Tribolium castaneum: one gene and its partner. The protein of the gene in region 1 purifies or fractionates together with the protein of each later gene. This does not show direct contact. Links are inferred from orthologs where the notes say so. Each region holds a gene or a part of one and is shown in the gene's direction. Other genes may lie near its edges.

The links.
Region 2: the proteins of Ube4A (region 1) and UBX domain-containing protein 4 purify together in Homo sapiens (affinity purification with mass spectrometry; 3 studies listed by BioGRID and IntAct, counting the BioPlex papers as one, with this or other methods). This does not show direct contact. The link is inferred for Tribolium castaneum from reciprocal best matches to the Homo sapiens genes UBE4A and UBXN4.

What each region holds. Positions count from the first base shown.
Region 1 is NC_087394.1:12,121,440-12,125,365, forward strand, and holds the start of Ube4A (ubiquitin conjugation factor E4 A), read left to right. Parts: upstream 1-1,166; 5' UTR 1,167-1,293; coding exon 1,294-1,861; intron 1,862-1,910; coding exon 1,911-2,191; intron 2,192-2,247; coding exon 2,248-2,583; intron 2,584-2,631; coding exon 2,632-2,832; intron 2,833-3,926.
Region 2 is NC_087396.1:24,044,351-24,048,276, forward strand, and holds UBX domain-containing protein 4, read left to right. Parts: upstream 1-993; 5' UTR 994-1,083; coding exon 1,084-1,165; intron 1,166-1,220; coding exon 1,221-1,355; intron 1,356-1,422; coding exon 1,423-1,772; intron 1,773-2,082; coding exon 2,083-2,762; intron 2,763-2,971; coding exon 2,972-3,107; 3' UTR 3,108-3,185; downstream 3,186-3,926. UniProt on the Homo sapiens protein: Involved in endoplasmic reticulum-associated protein degradation (ERAD). Acts as a platform to recruit both UBQLN1 and VCP to the ER during ERAD.

The sequences.
Region 1 (3,926 bases):
GGCATATAAATCTTCCTTTGAGTCAACGACATAAACTTCAGTGTGATTTATTGAAATGTATAAAGGGCAAAAATTAACTTTTCGTGTTGAACATTTTGATGAAAAAGGGCGTTTAATCGTTAATAAAGGGGGTGTTAATGTGTATTAAGTTTACTACATAATAAAACATAAAGTACAACAACTTTTCTATAAAAGCATTTTGCAAAACTCTTATTCATTATTTTCACTATTTTCCTCCTTTTATTTGTGCAAACGAGCTGATGATGTGAAATTTTGGTGCGAAAATTAGTGGTAACGCCACAAATTGTGTTAGTTTTAAGTCTCCAGAAAATTCGGTTTTAAAAGTAGGGTTATGTTATCAACTGGAAATGCAAAATTTTCACATTTATAGATTTTGTGTCCGTTTCTGCTTCTTTAAACCGTTATTAGTTATTATTGAATATGTTTAAGGGCAGACAAATTTACCTTGAGTTAACGACATAAACTTCAGTGAGATTTATTGAAATGTATATAGGGCAAAAATGAACTTCTTGTATAAAACATTTTTATGAAAAAGGGCGTGTTAACGTGTGTTAAGTTTACCAAGTAATAAAACATAAAGTACAACAACTTTTCTATAAAAGCATTTTGCAAAATTCTTATTCATTATTTTTACTATTTTCCTCCTTTCCTGTAATAACTGATTCGCCCTTCGGGGGCCATTCTGAATACTGTAATGAATTTTTAAAAATAAAGTTTGCGAAATCGGGAAATTTTAAAGAATGTCTAAAAATTCATTAAGGTTCCAAGGGGTGTTTGTCCGAACATGATTTTTTACAGTCGAAGGCCCTATCGAAGTGCTTAATCTCCTGCAAAAATAAAGAAAGTTGCAGGATATAAAGGGGGTGAAAAAAAAAACAGTTTGCATTGCCTGAATATGAGAATAAAAAATGCAGAAATTAAATACAGTTAAGTTGTTTCAATTTGTAAGAGAAACACATTAGAATGGTCAGGAGATGTTTTACAAATGTGATATGCAAATCAGAGTAACAGCTTATTGATGTTTTTATAATAATTTACGATTATTTTTATAATTTTCCTGGTGTGAACTTGGCTGTAGAAAACGTGAATGGTGGGGAAATTGTCTGGTCGACTGTAATGTTCATGGTTGCTGTCTTCACCGACATTGGATTTTCAGGGTTTTCAAGTGTCACGAAATGTCAAACGTGGATGTGATCTGCAATTTTTTAACAACATAAAAAATGCGTTTTAAAAAATAACATTCATAGTAATTTCGCCGAATTGTGTGTCACGATGTCAGACTTCAACCCGTTCGCTGCCCTAATAGAAGAATCCACGAATAAATCGAACGATTCAACAAACACGAAACAAGGACATGTTAAAAACATCAGCAGCATCCTCGAAGAGATATTTGCATTTACTTTAGACCCGAAAGTTAGCGAGAAGAAACACTTCTTGTTGCTGGAGGAAGTTGCAAACACTTTCAGCCGGAATGATCTTGACCTCTTGATCCTCCAACATGCCCTATTTGATCGCCTGTTTATGTGTAACGAAGAGAATCCGTTCATAAAAACTGCCAAACAGAACTTCAGGAACACGCATTCGTTTGAATCGAACGTGCTCACTTATCTGTGCAATTGCTTCAGGAATTTGAGCGATGACACGAACCTTGAGAGTGGAGAAAAGGCCAAAGTTAAGTCGTTGATTATTCAAAACGCTGTAACGGCCCTCATACAGTCGGAAATCTACGAAGGCCAAAAACTAGAGCAGCAATTGATTGATATTCTTAAAGATAACACTGATAACGGTATGCTTTTTTTCAAAGATGTATGTAAGGGAGTTCTGGATGAGGAAGAAGGAGGTATCTTGAAGCAAATCACCAAAATTTTTTAGTTCACAAATTGTTTCAGGTGAGGCTTTTCTTAAGGATAAATTGGGGCAAATTTTACTGGTGTTAACCGATGACATAATTAAATCAAATATCGTCACTTTTGACTATGGAATTTTCAATGTTTTGAATGTTTTTACAACTGAGGAATATCTCGCCAGTATTTTTCTTGATGTAAAACCTGTAAAGTTTAGTGCTGGTTCAGACTATGCGAACACCCCGTTAGGGGCCATTTTCAACGTTTCAATCTTGCCCAAAACACCGAATGCGATTTATGAGCACTTCCAGGACCCTACTGATCAAGTATTAATTCATAAATAATTTTGATAATTATTTTACATTATACTGTAATGTTTAAGGCTAGCATCTTGTCGGCTGAAGGAATTCTCTGGAGCAACGTCGATAAACTAACCGAACACACGCACGCTTTTGTCCTAAGTTTACTAACTTGCAGTCCACAAATTAAAAATAAAACCCTGGAATGGCTAGGACTTTGTATCAAAGCTAACATTGATCGTGGAAAGTTATGGAGCGCCCAATCACCGCCTGAGTTAAATCTTGTCAATTATACAAGTGTGTCTGATGGTTTTATGATCAATTTTGGGAACGTAATGTTAAGGTTGTGCCGACCGTTTTGTAATAATTTCAAGGATAAAAAAATACTGAAAGTGGATCCGACCTACTGTTCTGTTCCTGTAAGTTGTTTAAATGGTTTGAAAATTGTTTTAATTGATTTGTTTAAGGATGATCAATGTTGTGAAAAGGGTGTCCATTTGCCTGGCATGAATACGGAAACATGTCTAATACCGAATGATTCAGATGATGAAGGAAAGTTGCTAACTGCTGAAAAGTATAATTTTGTAACAGAGTGTTTTTATTTTGCACATAAAGCTGTTAATTTGGGTTATCAAGTCACTGTGGATAAGTTGGTGCGCTTAAATCATGTGAGTAATTTTTTAAATTTATTATTATGTCTTAAATGTTTGATAAAAAACTAAACAAGGTTAAATGCATATTAAAAAAATGGAACTAGACATTATTTGAAATTGTTTTAAAATGTTTGATAATATGACAATAGACAAATTTTCTACTTGAAAATTTGGTCTTTTCTAATAGTTAATAACTAATTATTGTGGTTTAACTTTTTTGCAACTTTAAAGAAAGCTAGATTTAGATACGTGTCACCTGAGACAAAAGGATAAATTGCCCTTCAAATAATTTGTAGAATATTGACATTTCCATTAAAATATCTTTTTGTTAATGTCAAAACGATGTACTATTTATAATGTCAACAATGCACTCTTTTTCATTAATATTCTTTTTGTGATTTTGACGTTGAAAAGTTTATTTCCTAATGTGAAATTTTTGTGGTAACTTTTTTTTTAGAGAAATAAGTTTTATTTCTAAATTTATTTTATTCATAATTTCCTCACAGGTCAGTTTAATATCGCGTTTTAAATATTTGTTCCGGCCTTTAATGTTTTTATGAAAAATCGTTCAAATAGCATAAAAAATACAGTAGGTATCATATACAAACCGAATAAAATATCTCAAAAAATTGTCTTCTATTTATTTTATTTTTAAATGACACTTTTTCTATTTATACTACATACGAGTATATCCTGGACTTACTGCTAAAAGTGACCAAGTCAAAAATTAAGGGTCGGTTTACAGAAAGCAAAATTAAGATTTAATTCAAAATTAAACTAATTCAAATTAATTTGCCATAGTTTTTTTGCATTTTAAGCATTGACAAATGTTGAGTTATGCGCGACTAAAATTTAATTACAGTTAAAATGTTCTGTAAACCGGCTCTAAGTCTTTTTACAAATTAAGTTCATAATTAAATGCTTTTATAAAATCATTGTTGCTTTTCTGCAAATTTTTGTGGTGGGAAATTACAGGAGCAACACTGAAGTTATAGAAATCCGTCTATGTTTTACAGTTTTCCAAAAAATGTGGTCGTGTTAAACGTAAAACTTAAAAGGAAATATCTGACATGACCAAGTTTTAAAAATATAAGATTTATTTTCTCATT
Region 2 (3,926 bases), on another chromosome or scaffold:
TTTAATTTGTTTTTTTTTCATTTTTAATTAACTTTAATGTAATTCCTACCACGAAGATTTTTTTGGCAAATTGTGCGAGTCTAAGCTGGAACATTGAAACATCTTGTTTTAAATTTTTATTGAACCTGTTATTGCATATAAAAAACTATAGTTTTCCTAGTTAATAAGTCATTTGTGACTCTATCGCTATTCAGTTAAATAATAATATCCCATATTTATTTGCTGCAATCTTGATTGCAATCTGTAATGGCCAGTATAAAAGTGCTAATTTTACCAACTTGAATATTTAAAAGCTACGGACGGGCTGTTCCGCTTATTTATTGTAAACCGCGATGAAACAAATTTATTGTTTAATAACCGTCGTCGTTCTAATCCCGGTAAGAAAATCGTTGTTTCGTTATTAATCTTAGTTAAAATTTATTGTTTTAGACACTCACTGCTCTTGAAAATGAAGGGCAAAATCCTGATACAGCAAATTGTGTTGCGCTAGGTGGACAAAGAATCAAAGATTCTGAAATAGCAAAAATGGCTCATTGCATTCTCACCAAAACGAATTTAATGACAGACAAAGGCACTTTTAATAGTAATCTTTTAAAGGAAAGGCTTAGACAATCTGTGCACAGTGACGAATTAGTGGATAAAGTCGTCATGATGTGCACCGTTGAGAAGGAAACACCACTGAAGAGTGCATTTTCGGGATACAAATGTCTGCGGTACCTTGTACCATGGTTTCCGTTAGACTAATAAAGAACAGTTTTCAATACCCGACCCAAAATAAAGTTTTAAGAGCATTTTGCCTGTTTATTTGCTATTTCGGCCACTTTAGAGGTGGTTTCAAAAATTTACGTTTTTCAAAATGACTAAAACTGGACTTTTTCCGTTATAGCACTGAACACCCCATAGATGTTTAGCTAATTAGCGCCACATTTTCTGTCCAAATCTGTTCGTAAAATTTAACTTTGGCGCGTTGCTTGTGACACCTAGCATATTCTATGCACCTAGCGCCACATGACAGTTGTCAATGTAACACGTCAGTTGTCACAAACACTCATTTTTTATTAAAAAAAAATAGTTTTAATCGAAATGAACTGGTTTAAAGGTGAAATCGCCCAAGCAATCGTCACTTCGAAAGCCAAACAGGCAATATTCGTAGTTTACGTTTACGGTAAGAAACGCAAACGTTATCTAACCTCTCCATGTCGTTTTTCGCCCGTTTTTAGGCAAAGACGATAAGTCAGCGCAAATAACCGAATTAATCGACAAGGAGGAAATCGTTAAAATATTAGGAAGCGATAGCTTTGTGGCAATCAAGATCGAAGCCGACTCTGTACCTTATCAGCAGTTTAGTCAAATTTGTATCCTTTTTTTGTAGTATCCAAGTTTTGTTGATACTTTTAATTGATTTGTCCCTAACTCAGTCAGATAAGCAAGTTCCAACCCCTTCGGTTTATTTTATTGGGAAGCAAGGAGTGCCTATTGAGATTGTGACTGAAGTAAATGATGTTAAAACTTTTCAAGAAAAACTCAACTCGATTCTGCAAAAAGGCGGACTTTCTCCGATTGCTTCACAATCACAAGATTTTATCACCAAAGAACAGGCGCAAAATGTTGTGTGCGAAAACGACGTTTGCACCATGAAAAAAGACGAAACGCCTTCAACCAGTCAGCAAGCTGTGGCAGGAAAAGAGGATTTAACAGTTGAAGAAAAGGTTGAAAGGGCCAAGCAGTTGGTTGAACTGAAGCGAGAAGAGAAAAGAAAGGAGGAGTTTGAGGTAATGTGTGGCTGAATTTAAGTTGGCAACATTTCATAAAACAAACGATGTTTTCATAACTCAGCTACGAAAACAACAATATTTTGGTTCTGTCTCATGTAAAATGATCCGGAGAATCGATTGGTGTCAAGAAAATCGCCAAATTCCCAGTAGTTTTTAAGTTATGAATTTTTCAAAATTTGACCAATTTTTGCTTTTATTTGCAATTTTCTCGAAAACTATTGATTGGTCTTAATTTGTCAAAATTGAAGTCCATTTGACACTTGTAACTTCAAAATCCTCAGTGAAATAATGGCGTAACATCTTGCAGAAAGAGCGCGAGAAGGAGCTTGAGCGTCGTAAAATGGGCCAAAACGTGCAACAGTTGAAACGTTGGCAGGAGGACCAAGAGCTGAAGCAAGTCCTTGAAGAACGTGAAAGAGAAAAGCGCGAAAGTCAGGCGGCTCGTGAACGAGTCTTGGCTCAAATCGCTCAAGACAAGGCTGAAAGAGCGGCAAAATTCTCTCCAACAGCCACAGTTCAACCACAAGCTCACTCATCGCAATCGCAGTCATCTCCAAGACCTGTCAACACAAACACAGCCAGATTGCAATTCCGAATGCCAGATGGCAGCACGGCAACGAACGATTTTTCGAGCAGTGACACGCTAGCAAGTGTCCATGCTCACATTAAAGCTAATTTGCATCTACCGTTTAGCAATTACACACTTTCCACAACTTTCCCTCGAAGAGAATTTACTGAAGCTGAGAATAGTCAAACGTTGTTGCAACTGGGGCTTGTTCCAACTGCTGTTATTTTGATCTTGCCGGTTAATAGGGGAGTCGTTGCTACTAACACAGAAGGAGGGTTTACAGGATTTTTGTGGACTTTGATTACCCCGATTTTGACTCTTTTGGGTTATTTGAAGACTTTTGTGTTTGGATCGGCTCCTGCGCCATCTACTAGCAACGATAATAAGCGAGCCGCTGAAGCGTCATCTAGTGATCACAGGTTTGTTATTCTTCTTAAGATTTATAACTGAAGTTAACAATTTTTACTATTCTTCAAGTTACTCATCAAGAAGGCTGTGGATGTCATACGTCAAAAAAACATGGCTTGCTGCCATTTTTTTTACTTATGTTATCCTGAGTTATATTTTTATTGCAATCTTAATCTAGGGCCTAAAAAAATCTGCCTGTACTATTGAGGAATTGTTTTAGGGGGCAACCAAAAGTTCGAAGGGGTGGCGAAACAACAGTGATTAGAAGGCAGGGGAATATTCATCGTTTGTCCAATAAAAACGATAGTGATGATGAGAATAATACCTGGAACGGTAATTCTACCCAGCAGATGTAAATTATCTTATTACTTACTTGGAATATTTTTCACTAGTTATGTACTTCTTGATGTAAATAAAATACTTAGAATTTTTTATTGCTTGTTTTATTTTCTCATAACACATTAACAATATTTTACATAAGTGTACTCGTACCTATTCAGGAGGCAAAGATTTTCCTTTTGCCAACAGAGTAACTCCTAAGAAACTGTTTCATAAACTCCTGGTATTACTCTGTCTTTAAATGTTCCACACCACCTTTAAAAAAATGAGAAAAATGCAACCGAAAAAACCTCCCCGCAGTCTGCACATGTCGTGTGTATTGTTGGTTGCAGCCCTAGCGCCAGTTTCTAGCAGTGAATAAATTAATTTACTTCGCAATTAAATGCTCAGATTTTTTTACATTGGGTTACGCTAATCATTGTCCAGTTAAGACTTAAATTAAATTACCATCAAGCGAATGATAAAAACTGGATAACGATTCTAGTTATAGTTTCGTTTAAAGAGAAGCTTAATTAATTTTTTTAATAAAAATTATTTTGAGTCTAAAATTTTTGAGTGTGTGAAAAAAATAATTATATTAATTTTTACCAATTTTTTAAAAATTTTGAAGGACAATAAGTGACAAAACTCATAAACTACAAGTCGCACGGATTTTTTTTAAACCGCCAAATTTTTTGATTGGCTTTGATTAGGTATAGTTTTTGAATTTATAAAATAAAAATATCATAACTCGACAACTACTCGACCTAAATAAAAACGGTTTTGCAAGCAAATTCTTTGGGTAATTTTGGGTAAGACCTCGGGTAAGACATTTTTGCAGCCTTTTTCAAGGATAA